Notamacropus eugenii: one gene and its partner. The protein of the gene in region 1 interacts with the protein of each later gene in a pairwise test. Links are inferred from orthologs where the notes say so. Each region holds a gene or a part of one and is shown in the gene's direction. Other genes may lie near its edges.

The links. The genes of interacting proteins can lie anywhere in the genome.
Region 2: the proteins of FKBP8 (region 1) and ZFYVE27 interact in binary tests that used the Homo sapiens proteins (3 or more experiments, as listed by UniProt). The link is inferred for Notamacropus eugenii from reciprocal best matches to the Homo sapiens genes FKBP8 and ZFYVE27.

What each region holds. Positions count from the first base shown.
Region 1 is NC_092875.1:67,000,803-67,008,291, forward strand, and holds the start of FKBP8 (peptidyl-prolyl cis-trans isomerase FKBP8), read left to right. Parts: upstream 1-4,394; 5' UTR 4,395-4,409; coding exon 4,410-4,619; intron 4,620-5,361; exon of another isoform or gene 5,362-5,364; coding exon 5,365-5,662; intron 5,663-7,489. UniProt on the Homo sapiens protein: Constitutively inactive PPiase, which becomes active when bound to calmodulin and calcium. Seems to act as a chaperone for BCL2, targets it to the mitochondria and modulates its phosphorylation state.
Region 2 is NC_092872.1:214,485,478-214,492,601, forward strand, and holds the start of ZFYVE27 (protrudin), read left to right. Parts: upstream 1-4,109; 5' UTR 4,110-4,156; coding exon 4,157-4,203; intron 4,204-4,646; coding exon 4,647-4,844; intron 4,845-6,729; coding exon 6,730-6,800; intron 6,801-7,124. UniProt on the Homo sapiens protein: Key regulator of RAB11-dependent vesicular trafficking during neurite extension through polarized membrane transport. Promotes axonal elongation and contributes to the establishment of neuronal cell polarity.

The sequences.
Region 1 (7,489 bases):
ATCATTGAATGACCTTTTTTTCCCTTGAAGTATACTCAGTTTTGCTGGGTAGGTGATTCTTGGTTTTAATCCCAGTTCCTTTGACTTCTGGAATATCCTATTCCAAGCCCTTCAATCCCTTAATGTAGAAGCTGCCAGATCCTGTGTTATCCTGATTGTATTTCCACAATACTCAAATTGTTTCTTTCTAGCTGCTTGCAATATTTTCTCCTTGACCTGGGAACTCTGAAATTTGGCCACAGTATTCCTAGGAGTTTCTCTCTTTGGGTCTCTTTCAGGAGGTGATTGGTGGATTCTTTCAATATTTATTTTGCCCTCTGGTTCTAGAATATCAGGGCAGTTTTCCTTGATAATTTCATGAAAGATGATGTCTAGGCTCTTTTTTGATAAAGGCTTTCAGGTAGTCCCATAATTTTTAAATTGTCTCTCCTGGATCTATTTTCCAGGTCAGTTGTTTTTCCAATGAGATATTTCACATTATCTTCCATTTTTTCATTCTTTTGGTTTTGTTTTGTGATTTCTTGGTTTCTCATAAAGTCATTAGCCTCCATCTGTTCCATACTCATTTTTAAAGAACTATGTTCTTCAGTGAGCTTTTGAACCTCCTTTTCCATTTGGTCAATTTTGCTTTTTAAAGCATTCTTCTCTTTATTGGCTTTTTGGACCTCTTTTTCCAATTGAGTTAGCCTATTTTTAAAGGTGTTATTTTTGGGGTCTTCTTTAGCAAGCTGTTGACTTGCTTTTCAAGCTCTTCCATGGCCTGAGCCTATTGCATATTCATTTTGGAAGTACTGGATGCATAAGCCTTGACTTCCTCTGACAGTATTCTTTGTTCTTCCTAATCTGAAAGGATGGAAGGAAATACCTGTTCACCAAGAAAGGAACCTTCTATGGTCTTATTTGTTTTCCCTTTTTTGGGCATTTTCCCAGCCAGTTGCTTGACTTCTGAATCCTTTGTCAAGAGGAGGGTTCTAGTGCTCCTGTTCACCCCAGGGCTGTGCTCAGGGGTGAGATTCTGATCAGCTGCTCAATTCCTCTAGAGACTTTAGGCTGAGTGCTTCACAGATGGATGCTGCAGCTACCACCACCCCTGCTGCTGCTGCCACTACCACCTCCACTGCCTGGGGCCAGTGCTAGGGGGATCTTGCTCCCCTCTCACCTAGTGACCTTTGAAGCTTTCTTTGGTGCTTGTGAGTTGAGGGATGTGAGACCCTCCTTGCTGGGGATTCTGCCCCAGAGGCCTGTTCTGGTCCTGTTCCTCCCACTGCCACAGCCAGGGCTGGCCTCTACTGCACTCAGCATCGCATGGGATAGACGTCTCCTGTTGGCCTTCAAGATTACCTTTGGCTGGAAATCTCCTTTACTCTGTCGTTCTGTGGCTTCTGCTGCTCTAGAATTTGTTGATATATTTTTCACATGTATTTTACGGGCTGTGGGGGAAGAGCTAGAGTGTGTGCCTCTTTCTACTTCTCCATCTTCTATTACACTTTTCAGTGCGCAAGAGTTCTTACGGAACCTGCAACCTTAAAGGGGTACAGGTAAAGTTTATATAGGATATTCTATAGTAAAGCATGTGCCAAATATGTTAACTAGGTGTTTTGGGGTGGGATTAGGGAGTGGTTAAAGAGCGGTCAGTTCTTAAAGGAGCATGCACTTTTAGTATCTACTGCGCAGGTATTTTACCCAAAGTTCATGGGGAAATAGCCCAAGGGAGGGCTACTTGGAGGTATGGTTTTAGGCCTGAAATGTCACTAAGTGTACAAGTGGTCAGGGCTGGCTCAGAAATACCAGGTTGCTCTCATCAATGTCTTGTTAGACAAGATAAATGTAAGGGAGTATACATGTGTCTAAGTCTAGGATACATATGATTGATCAGTTATGACCCAGGGCATAGCCAGTTCAGCCAGGACACAGCTGGTTCAGACTAATAAGTTCTATAAGTGCAACTGGCTGCTGTATTAGGAAGGGAGATAATGGTTGTTCCTGGGGCAGGCTGTGTCCTTGGGCTGGGAAGAAACTGCCTGGGATAGTGTTTTGAGGCTAGGGAGAAATGTGACTTTTAAAGAGAAATGTGATTTTAGAATTGGGGCCCAAGCACCCCATCAGCTTGGTCCTGAGGTCCTTTCCAAGTCTAAAATCCTGTGCTTGTATAAGCAACAGTTCCGGAGTTAGAGAGACTGTGTTCAATTCCTGTGTGACAGACATTTGGCAACTCATTTGCCTCTTCTGGCCTCAGTTTCCAAATCTTGGCAAAGATACTGTAGTGGTTTGCCATTTCTTCTCTAGCTCACTTTACAGATTAGGAAACTGAGTCACACAGCACTTACTTGCTCAGGGTCACATGGCTAGTAAGTGTCTGAGGTTGAATTTGTACTCAGTCCCCCTGATTCCTGGGCTAGTGTTCTATCCCCACAGCCACCTAGCTGCCACCTAGTTGTCCTTTATTTTTTTTTTTTAATTTTCATGTTACCTTTCTCAATAGGGTTCAGATGTTTTCTGTCCCACGGGCTGATGTTTTCTGTTTTTGGTCCCGGGTAAAAGGGGAAAAAACATACTTTTGTCTCTAGGTCAAGAGGAGGGGAATGTTGTGTGTCCTTGATAGATGGGTTTTGTTCAAAATTCTCTTTCTTACCAAGGAAGAGTCTGGGGGTGGCGCAGCATGTTGGGAAATGATTCTAATGTTTTAAAAAAGTATAAATGAACATTTTTATTGGAGAAAAAAGAAAAACAGAGAAGTCGTCCTTGCCCTCAAGGTGCACAAACATAGATAACTTCATTATATAAGCACTTTGCAACCCTGATTAACTCACTTCATTCCTCTGGGGCTGTAAAAAGAGGGGGTTGGACTGCATGAAGTCTAAAGTCCTATCTGCCTCTAAAAGTGTAATCTTTACTCTGGGGTAAGTGGAAATGGGGGAGGAGACTAGGAAGGGTGGTGGCCCCAGAAGGTTAAGCCATTTCCATTCCACTTACTCGAGATGTTGCTAGAGTGATCTGTCAATTTCATTTAAAACGGAAAGTGATCCAAGTATATTTTAAATGGTTTCATGTTTCATATGTGTATGTTTCACATATTATAGGTATGTATTAAATGCATTTTATGTTTATTTCATACGTGTGTCATATAAACATAATTAAATTACGTGAAATGAAGTTATAGAATACCTACGATATGAAATTTTATACATATATAAATTCACGTTGTATGTCCTTGTCGGCTGAGTTTGGCAAATGGGGAAACTACGGTACAGGGGGTGGGTTGTCAAAATCGAGCACACCTTCGCCTCCAAGGCCCCAGAAGTCACGGATGCTCACTAGCTGGAGGCCCCCTGCTGCGTGGGGGGAGTGTGTGTGTGTGTGGGGGGGGGTTCACGCGGGTCAGGGATAGGCAGGTAAATGTTTAACACAGCACACTGCAGGGGCGGGGGCGGGGCCGGAGGGAGGGGTGTGGGGGAAGGTGCAGAGGGGAGGACTTGCGGGGCATCCTCGTCGGAGTTATTAGCACGTTCTCCATCACTTTCTAGAACCTACTTAATTAACATAACAATACATCAAGCGCTGGCGTGCTGTTTGTCCACTTACGAGGTGCGAACGTTCTCGCCGCAAATTTAACAACAGGCTGCCTGGAGGGGGCGAGAGTTGAACCCAACGCAGCCCCGGAGGAGTCCTGGCCCCGCCCTTCAGGACTTGGCCTTGGACGTGACCTCCGCACCCGCGCATGTTGCCTCGGTCCCTTTAAGAGCTTGAAAAACCTTGGAAACCAAAGCAGGAAGGAGGCGGGTCCTCGCGCCTAGAGCGATAATCACATCAACCAATCCGGGAAGCCTTCCTGGCCGGTTCAGCCAATGAGCACCTGGGAGGGCGGGCCTAGGGCAGCTGATTCCCGAGGCCGGGCAGCAGCTGCTGCTGCTGGGTGGTGGGGGACCCACAGGACCCTGGGGGTCCCGAATTGGTGCCACGTGTCCCCGGGGGAGCCGGGCTGGGACCTCGGTAACTCCCGGGGCCCCGGCTGGCAGAGGAGGTTGGAGCGGGGTGGCTGCTCGAGCCCGCAGCGGGGTGGGGGTTGGAGACGAGGCCTGGGGACCTGGATGGGGGCGGGGGACCCCGGGGGAGACCCCGGCCCCACCGTTGGAGCCATTCTAGGCCTCGCGAACCGGAGCGGCCTAGATCTACCCCAGGGACCCAGGCGTCCCGTCCCTGCCCATCCAGTCCGAGGTGGGGGGGGAGGGTCCCAGGGACTGGAGGGAAAGGGCGGGGGGCGTGTGCAGAGCCCCAGACCTGAACAGGAGCTTGAATTTAGAGGGGAGGGACCGCAGGAGTCACCTCGTCCAACCCTCCCAACCCCCATTTCACAGAGGAGGAGACTGAGGCCCAGAGTGGGAACAAGGTCATCTGCGGGTTGACTGTCAATGGCAGAGCTGGGATTGGACCCCAGACCCCCAGAATCGCGCCCCACGCTAGATGGAAGTTCAGTGATCACCCCACTCCATAGAGCAGGGGTCTGGCCTCAGGCCTCTCAGTTGAAGGGAAGGATTAGGGGCTTCTGGATATCCTCCATCCCACTCCACACCTGCTGGCATCCCCACAGCCCCAGGTGTTGGCAGAGGTCATCTCATTCGGTAAATGTTTGACCTGTCAGATGCTATCAGCAGGTACCCTGAAGGCTATATCCTGCCCCATTCCCTTCCTGTACCCCAAGCAGTCTTTCTTCGTTAAAACCCGCCCCCCCCTCCGCAATAATGAGGATGGGTCAAAGAAGGAGGCGATCAGTCTTGAGTGAGTAGGATGACCTTATGGAAAGACCCCTAAAAGGAGCAATCAGGACAATTGTGGTCTGTTCCCAGTGGCCACAGACTGACCAAATCTTTGGCTTTGGGCAGATTCCTCTCCTTTCTACCCCACTTTTTTTTATTCAATCTGCAAAATGACAGAGATTTGGTGGTCACTGAAGGGTAGAGCTGAACTTTAGGGACCATCTAATCTAGTTCTTTCATTTTTACAGGTGAGGAAACTGAGTCCTAGGGAGGTAGAGTAAGACCTTCCCACAGTCAGATGACAGAGCTGGGCTTCATACCCATATCTGAGACCAGATACAATGAACTAACTGTCTACCTCCTCTAAGATTCTTCCCAGTTTAGATACTATGTTCTAAAGCCCCTTCACCCTTATGGTCAGGAGCTTGGTTCCATTGCAGCACCCCCTGTCCCAGCCAGGGAAGATGGCAAGGACAGAGACAACCGAGGTGGGCTTTGTACTTGGTTACCTCTCCACCTAAGCTACTTCTATTCCTTTGTTGGCTCCCTCTTTCTCTCTCTTTCTTTCTGCTCTTCTCTCTCTCTCTGTACCTCCACCCCTCACCAGCAGCATCTCTCAAGAACCATGGCATCCAAAGCTGCATCCCCTACTGCAGACCCAGTCCCTGTTTCTCCACCACCTTCCGGGGCTGCCCAGCTGGATGCAAGTGAGGATTTTGAGGTCCTGGATGGAACTGAAGAGGAAGAGGACGATGATGATGACTTGAATGAGCTGCCTCCCTTGGAGGATCTGGGAGCAGCCCAAAATGAGGACCCCACGGAGCCTCAGCCTACAGCATCTGAAGAGACAGAGCATGAAGAGACAGAGCATTCAGGCGCCCTCCAGGAGGAGTGGATGGACATCTTGGGTAAGAGGCTTGAAACTTTCAGGCATGAGGGTGTGGGGGCTGGGTCTGAGGCTGGGCATGGGTTACTTCATTCATTTATTAAGCGTTCACTGTCAGTCATCCAGTAAACATTTATTAAGTACCTGCTGTGTGCCAGGCACTGAATTAGGTGCTGAGTATTCCAAAGACAAAAATAAAATGTTCCCTGCCCTTTTAAGGAGCATATGTATTATGTGCAGGCCCAAATTGAGGCATTACTATTTGGGGCCAGGTATATATAGTCTCTTGGTTGAAAGAGGAGAGTGGAAACCAGAATCGTTATCATCATAATACAAAGCTCTCATTTGATCCTCACTACACTCTGGGAGGTAAATGCTATTATTATCCCCATTTTACAGATGAGGAAACAGAGTCTGGCAGAGGTTAAGTGACCTGTCTAGGGTCACACAGCTAGTAAGTGTCTGGGGCCACATTTGAACTCAGGTCTTCCTGACTCCAGATCTCTCGCTTCAGCCATCGTGCTAACTTAGCTTGAGTAAGAGATGGTCTTTATCACAGCGCTTTTAACAGATAAAAATATATATTAGAATATAATAAGTACAAAAAGGCAGTACACTGTCATTAGTTCAGTGAGGGAGAGAGGGAGGCAGGGTGCTGTACTTGCATTCTCCTCAAGGCAGGGTTTATCTTTTGCCTCCTTTTGTATCCCTGGTGCCTAGCACAGTGCCTAGCACAGTGCCTGGCACATCCAAGATGTTTAATACGTGTTTATTGATTGATTGACTTAGAATTGAGAAGACTTGAGTTCAAGTCCTCATTATACTATTTGTGTGATCATAGGCAACTGATCCAATCTTCCTGACCCTCTGTTTTTTCTTCTGAGTACTTTTATGTCTTTAAAATATATATATTTAAAAATTTTTTTTCAATCAGCAAAATTCTGCCTTCCTTCCCACCTCTCTTTCTTCCTAGTTGAGAAAGAAAGAAAAAGAAAACTCCTGTGTGCAAACATGTGCTGTCAAGCAAAAGGAATTTCTGTATTGGCCATGTCCAAAAAATAAGCCTCATTCAACATTCTGGGTCCCTCACCTCTAGACTTGGATGTGAGGAGTAAGCTTCATCATGACTTCTCTGGAATCTGCTCGTTGATCTGTTGGTCAGAGCTCCTTAGTCCTTCAAAGTTAGTTATTTCTCACATGTTGTTGTCATTATAATGTATCGTTCTGCATACTTCACTTTTCATCATCAATTCATGCCAGTCTTCCCAGGTTTCTTTGAAACTATACCCTTCATATTTTCTTACAGCACAGTCATATTCTATCACATTCATATACCATAATTTGTTCAGACATTCTCCAAATTAGTAGGCACCCTCCTTAGTTTCCAACTCTGTCTCTGCAAAAAAGAATTTCTATAGATATTTTTGTATAACCCTAGTTAGTTTGTTTTACTTAGGACTAATGCCTCTCTTAATTTACCCTTCCTCTTATTTCACCTTCTCCCTTCCTATGTGTTCTATATGCTTCTCTCCTTTAATCAGTTCAGATAAAAGTAAGGTATTGGTGTCACTGGCTCCCCCTACCCCGTTTTCTCTTGTTTGCCTAGACCTCTACTTGCACATAATATTCCCTAACTTTGCTTTCCCTCCAAGTGTACTCTTTCCCTCCCTTTCCATTCTCCTTTAAAGATCATCAAGTTATAAAAGAAGCATTCCCCGGCCCTCTGTCTAATTAGACTTTCTCTGTGTTCCCGGATGATGATAGAGCTCTGAAGGGATATATGTAACATCTCCCCATGTTAGAATGTAATCATTTTATCCTTGTTTAATTCCTTGTGGTTGTTCATGCT
Region 2 (7,124 bases), on another chromosome or scaffold:
TACAATGTTTGAGAATTTTCCAGCTAAATACTTACTTGGTTCTAAATGTTGTTACTCTTCAATTCCATCTCATTCACTCACTTACCATCTTGGAAACAGTCTTGGTACCAATAATAGTCAATGATGCAAAGGCATGAAGGACAAAGGAAACATGAGTCAGGATAGGAAGAGTCTGGTTCTTAAGAAATATGTGTCCCAAGTCATAGAGACAGAATGAGACACTGTTAGAGCTGGGCTGGACTTTAGGGATCATTCAGTCCAACCTTCTCACTTCATAGCTGTGGAAACCCATTACGACTAGATTGCAAGTGTTAAGATTAGGACCTATAGAAGGTCTATCTTGGTATCCGGACCACTTAGCATGGTGAGTGTTCGGGGCTGCTATCTAATCCATATCTATTGAACTGACTTGAAACTGATGCTGATGAAGCCAAGTAACTTACTCAAAGAGTAAGAGTTAGGGTGGAGACCTGGGCTTTCTGACTCATAGTCCACTGTTCTTTCCTTTGCATTGAAGACAAGCTAACCCATTTATAATGACTGGGGCAGGGTCCTGTTTTCTTTTAAAAAAGGAAAAGGAGGGCACTGCTTTCACCCCCCTTTTCAATCTTGAGGAACTCTATGTCTTAAAGAGCTCAATCAGTCAGCAAGTATTAAAATGCTGTGCTCAGTCTTGAGGGGAGCCCCATCTCTAAAGAGAGTGGATCAGAAAGTCAACAAGCATTTATTAGCCATTTATTTATGTACCAGGCATTGTGCTAAGTACCAAGAATACAAAGAAAAGCAAAAACAGACCCTGTTTTCAAGGAATGATAACTTAGAGATAATCCCGGAAGGAAGGTACTAGTTCTGGAAATGTAGGAAGGGGCCAGTTTGTGAAGAGATTTAAAAGCTAAACAGAAGTAGGGAGTCACTGGAGTTTATTGAGGAGGGGAGGGATTTAGTCAGACCTGTACTTTAGAAAGATCACTGGTAGCTAGAGTAAAGGAAGGACTGCAATGGCGAGAAACTTCAGAGAGAGTAACTAGAAAGTTATTACAACAACCCAGGTGTTAGGTAACAAGGAATGGTACCAGTGTGGAGGTTGGGATCTGAGGAGAGAGGGGAACATATCTGAGATTTATCTTGCTCAAACTTCTTTTTATAATTCTCTGGTTCATTATGTTCCCAACTTGGAGTCCTGGTGAAAATCTCTTAAAACAAAATTTAGTTTATATTTAAGGTCTTCTCCCCAAAGGCATTCATGAGTGAATGCCAAACAGAGAATCTTATTTTTTGATTCTGGAAGAAATAGGGAGTCACTGGAGTTTATTGAGTAGGAAGTGACATGATCAGACCTGAGCTTTAGGAAAATCATTTTGGTGACTGAATGGAGGATGTATTATAGTGAGGAGAGACTTGAGGCAGTCCAACCCACCAGCAGGCTATTACAATATAGTCCAGACATGAGGCAATGAGCGATGGCACCAGAGGGCAGTGTCAGAGGAGAGAAGGGGGCAAATTCAAGAAATGTTGCCAAGGTGAAATCAACAGACCTTGGGAACAGATTGGATATGTGGGGATGAGAAACAGTGAGGAATCCAGGATGACTCCTGTGTTATGAGATTGAAGGATTGGGAGGATAGTGTTGCCCTGTATAGTAACAAGGAAGGGGGTGGGAGGATTGTCTTCAAAGCTGCTCATGATCTCTTCGTGGCCAATTTCAATGACCTTTTCTCAGTTCTCTTTTTTTACAGCCTTTGACATTATTGATCACTCTCTTTTCCTTGATACTTTCTTAGTTTTCTTTCATGGGTTAAGTGACTTGTCCAGGGTCATACAACTAGTAAGTGTCTAAGATGATTTGAACTTAGGTCCTCCTGACTCTAGGGCTGGTGCTGTATCCATTGTGCCACGTAGCTGCCCACTCTCTTCCTGGTTTTCTTCCTACCTATCTGACCACTCCTCTCTCTCCTTTGCAGGATCTTCTTCCAGATTATGCTATAGGTGTCTTTCAGGGTTCTGTCCTGGGGTCTCTTCTCTTCATCTTCTATACTTTTTCACTTGGTGACCTCATCAGCTCTCAGGAATTTAATGACCATCTCTATGCTGATGATTCTCAAATATACCCAGTCTACCCTAACCTCTCCGTTGACCTCCAGTTCCTGATTTCCAACTGCCTCTCAGTTGTCTTGAACTAGGTGTTCAGTAGACATATTAAACTCAACAGGTCCAAAAAAGCATAGGTGATTTCTAAAGTCCTTGCCAGCGGTGACAATCTATGAATCTTTGATAACCCTTTCCAGAGTTATTGTAAAGGAATCTTGAAGAGAAATACTTCTCAAGATAAAAAAACCATGAAAAATGGTGGAATTCCAGACTTGTTGCCTAGTTGGTGGGGAAAAATTTCTTTTGGGGCTAGGGGGAAAAAATCCTTTAAAATCCACGGAGTAGCTGTGTGGTAATAGAACACTGGCTAAGGGAGTCAGGAGACCGGATTTCTGTAATCTAAGCTCTGCTACTGACTAGCTGTTAGCCAGGGACAAATCATTGATCTCTCTGGACCCCCTTAAGGTAAAAAAAAAGAGGAGGTGGGCTTGGCCCTGAATTAGGTAAACCTGAGTTTGAGTAGTCACTTAACCTCTGTCTTCCTCAGTTTCCTTATCTGTCAAATGGGGATAAACAGCATCTACTTTCAAGAGCTGTCAAAAGGATCAAGTGAGATTATATTTGTAAAGCGTTTAGCACAGTGCCTGGTACATAGGAAGTGCTATATAAATGTTAGTGGTGTTTTTAATGACTATTAATAGCACCTGCCTTACCAGGATGTTGTGAGGATTAATTGAGATTACGCATGAAAAGCTCTTTGTAACTCTTAAGGCCTATAAATTGCAAAAAGAAGGGATGACCTGCTTCGTTTTAGGGAGTTTCCTCCTCTTGGAGATCCCCACATTACATAAGATCCGTCCATTGCGGAGGTGGGAGGCCAGGGGGAGGCTTATTGCAGACGTGTGGGCTGGCTCCTCCGCCCCCAAACTTCTAAGGTTTGCTACGAGGAGGGGAGGTGGAAGTGACGGCGATGTGAAAAGACACCAATAAACAAGTCAGGAAGATCTTGGCCTAGAGGATCTTTGAGACGCCTGCCAATACTGAGGCCGCCCCTCCATCACTGTTTCCCCAGTACGGTCAATTTGGGCAAATGTGAATCCAGTCTCAAAGAGCCCAGGAAAAGGAGGCAGGTCGACTTCCCGGTGACATCACTCTAAACCAGAGGAAGGTTGCTTAGAAACACAGCGGCTCCAAAAAAAAAAGACACGCGCAGGCGCATTGCTACCGCGGGCCACCCTCCGAAAGGAGTATGCAAAAAATCTTGGGAGGAGGAGGGGGTGGAGCGGTTCCTCTGTGGACACGCCTCCTTCCCGTCCTTGGGGAGTCTGGACAATGATTGGAAGGGGCGGAGCCCGCGCGTTGACGTCACGAGGCACGCTGCGTAAAACGTTGGCGAGGTTTCCGGAAGCTGTGACAGGAGCTGCTGTGGAGGGGAAGGTCCTGAGCCCGGGGGGCTGGGAGTTGCGCGCCTGACCGGGCGGCCCCCATCCGACCCGGGTAGCGCCCGGGTCCCGGGCCCGACCCCGAGAGTCGCAGACAGCCGGCCGCAGGTCGGGTACGTGGGGCTGAGGCTCCGCGGCGGGCCCTGACTCTGGGCATGGGGCCCCCTCCCCTACGTACTCCCCTTCCCCTCGTCTCCCTGGGCTGGAGGGCTGCCCGAGGCCGGCGGGCCGGAGTGACCTATGATCGGGTCCGTCCCTCGGAGAAAAGTGGAGGGAGACCTTGGATTTGTCCCCAAAGGACGTTCCGGGAACACGGAAGTCCCAGGACCCGGGGCTGGCTCTCGTGTTTGTCGGGAAAGTAGCTTCAGCCCGCTGGGTCTTTGAATTGAGGGGGCTGGACCCGATCTGTGTCACTGACCCCTCGGGAAGTCTGGTGACGCCTCGGAAGTATGAATGATACAAAGTGTTACAAAGAAACCGGTTGATTGAAACAGTTACCAAAATATCAGACCGTTCAAGGACTCCTGAACTGGGTGATTTCTAAGCCGATAGCTTGCAGCTCTTGCTCTTAAGATCCTCTGGGCCAGGGGGTGCGTCAGTTCCTGGTCCAATTCCCTTCCACAGTGATGGGCTGGAGGAAGAGGGACCTGCTCTATGTTCCCCCCCAAGACTGGTAGGGATGGGTGGGAATTTTAAAGTTAAATGTTTTATTTTTAAATTCTGTTTTTAAGCCTCTTCTGGTTTAGCTCTTAGATATTCAAGGAAAGTGATGTGCTGGGTCGTGGGAGGTATCCAGAATTTTGGAGTTGGGAACGAAATCTGTATTGGATAGGTTCCCCTCCTCTTTAGAGAAAGGATTTGAGGTAGCTGATAAATTCTGTTTGAATCTCATAAAAGAATATTTATTGTTTGAAGAAATGACAGACAGGTCCCACCAAGTTACCAGATTATTCTTTTGACGAGTAGACGAGTAGGAATGTAAAAATATGAGTATCTGTGGGTAAATATAATAGAATGTCTAGAGGAACCAGGAGATTTTTTTTCCCTATTTTTCCCCTTACCTACTGCTTTCCTCATTAATGTGTTGTTTGATATTTCCATTTTAACTTAATGTAGGATGCAGGCACTAGAACAAGAGAGCTGTGGGCCAGAGGGGACACCCACTGCCATGCCTGAGGCCCAACCTGACCCTCCACCTGCCCCACCTAAGCCTCCAGTGCTTGACCTCTTCAATTTGGTCCTGTTTTACAAGAGACTTGTTCTGTACTTGGAGCCCCTGAAGGATGCAGGCGATGGGATCCTCTATTTGCTCAGGTATGGCCTTCATGGAGTAGGGATGTCTGGCATCTGCACATTTTGCTTCTGTATGTTGCTGTAATAGCCATTCAGAAACCTGGGCTGAATGTCACCATCGCTTAGATTTGACTCCTTGGTCCGGGCAGCCAAACCAGGTAGCCTGTTTTAATCTGAAGCCCTCAGTTAATAAGCATTTATTCAGCACCTACATTGTGGATCAGGGACTGTGCTTAGCACTGAGGATTCAAAGAAATGCAGGAGACAGTCCCTGATCTCAAGGAGTTCACAGTCTAGCAGGGGAAATAACATGCAGTATAGCATATTAAAGTATTTTAGTGCATTCTTTTTATTTTTCCTCCCAGAGAAATAAAACTGAGGATGTGGAGACATTGTTGGATTTTGGGTTAAAACCCCTCCCACAAATCTGCTGGAGTCTTTGATTTCTGTACCTTTGGGAGCCTGAGGGTATGAGATAAGCTTGTTCTTTGGCTCTCCTTCCTTCGCTAGTAAAGAGCACTTGGTGTTGAAAGGCTTTTGACCCTGGTCTGTAGAGATGCTGTCAGATCTGTGTAATCAGCCATGGTTTTCTAAAAGGCCAGTCTTCTGTAAGCAGCCCTTCCTGTGGGCAGTAGCCGGTCATCACAAAAGTCTTCATGAAGGGACAAGTTAGCATGGAAGAAAGTTTAACAATAGAATGGCTGCCATGGGAGGATAATGTCTTTCACACCATAAAGAGGCTGAGGTTTCAGGATTAGTTAGTTCTAAGGAGCTTTCTTATGTCCTACCCTTGTTAACTGCTATCAGTGATTAGGATTAATGAGGGCGGTAGTTGGACACTAGGTACAGCTTTCAGAGAAATACCATTCCAGAGAGTCTCAAGCTTTTGTTTCTTTTCTTCCCCAAAGGAAGTATATTTACATAAAAGCAGAGAAATTAACTTTATTTGGGAAATGAGGAAATAGTCCAATTAGGTAGAATAAATAGTGCACATTGAAAGGCTAATCAGTCTTAAGTGTCTTTTTGTATTTGTTTTTATTGCTTTTGACTTCCGACTTCTTTTCTTTCACTTTTTATCTCTCTTGGGCTCTAATTACCCTATATTTACAATCAAGAGATCACAGGACAGATATCTTGCTCTTCTGAGTTTTTTTTTCTTAGAAGAACTGAACTTCCTTTTAAAGGGGATGTACATAACTACTCTGTCTTCCCCAGGTGTTCCTAATTCACTCACTCAGGGGCCTTTACTTCAGGAGAATGATAAAACCCCCTTCATAGAATTGTGAAACTCTGAATTACAAGAGACCTTAGAGGTCATCTGGTCCTGTCCAGTCCACACTTGAACAGACCACACCGTTATGTAGTTTGAAGTAATTTTTAAAAAGTGGTTAAATATACTCCTTCACGGGTGTGCTTTTGTAGATACTGCCCTGGGCATTTAGTCTAGGGGGTCCTTACCCTTTTTTGTGTAATAGACCCCTTTGGCTGGTGAAGCCTCTGGACCACTTTCTTAGAAGAATACTTTTAAATAAGAAAAAGAAATGTCAAATTTCAGATGGAGGTTACTGAAAAAAAAAAAAGGTGTAATTTTTCTTTCCATACAATTTCATGGACCCTCTGAAATCTACCCCAAGACCCCCAGAGGAAGCACCCCTGAGATGGTCATTCTTCTCATTACAAGGATTAGTGTTTACCTTGTTCCTCACAGGTTTTTCCCCTCTTATCCTTGGCATACTTACCAGGCCTCCCTACTCTCCCTGCCCCTTGCTTGGCTAAAGGAAAAGCCTCTTCATTATTTACCATTTCTCTTCAATCTCATGTGTCCTGCCTTTGCTGCTTGCTGGCTCTGTGGTACCACACAGGAATGGAACACCATTTGTACTGATCAAGGTTCTCTGTGTTCTAGGTGGCAGACACCAGTGTGTTCCCTGCTGACCTGCCTGGGCCTCAATTTCCTCTTCCTCACTCTGAATGAGGGTAAGAACTGGTTTGGGGACCTGAGGTGGGGCCCATATGTTGAGAGGTAGAAAACTTGCAGGTTGGGTTGAGTTAGAGGTAGTGTCTTTTTTTACTTTGATATTGTTGCCATATGGAAATATTTAACATGCTTAGAAGGTACCAAGGAGCAAGGGCAGTCAGCCCCTGGGGCTATGCCAGTTATAGTATCCTGTCCTTGCTGTCCAAACAGCTGTATGGATGGACCCCTGGCCTCCTTCCCTTTTTGTTTCCAGAAAGCTGATTCATCGAGGCTCATGGCATTTGGAATAGCAGATAAAGGATTTGTGCTGTGTAGAGACAGCC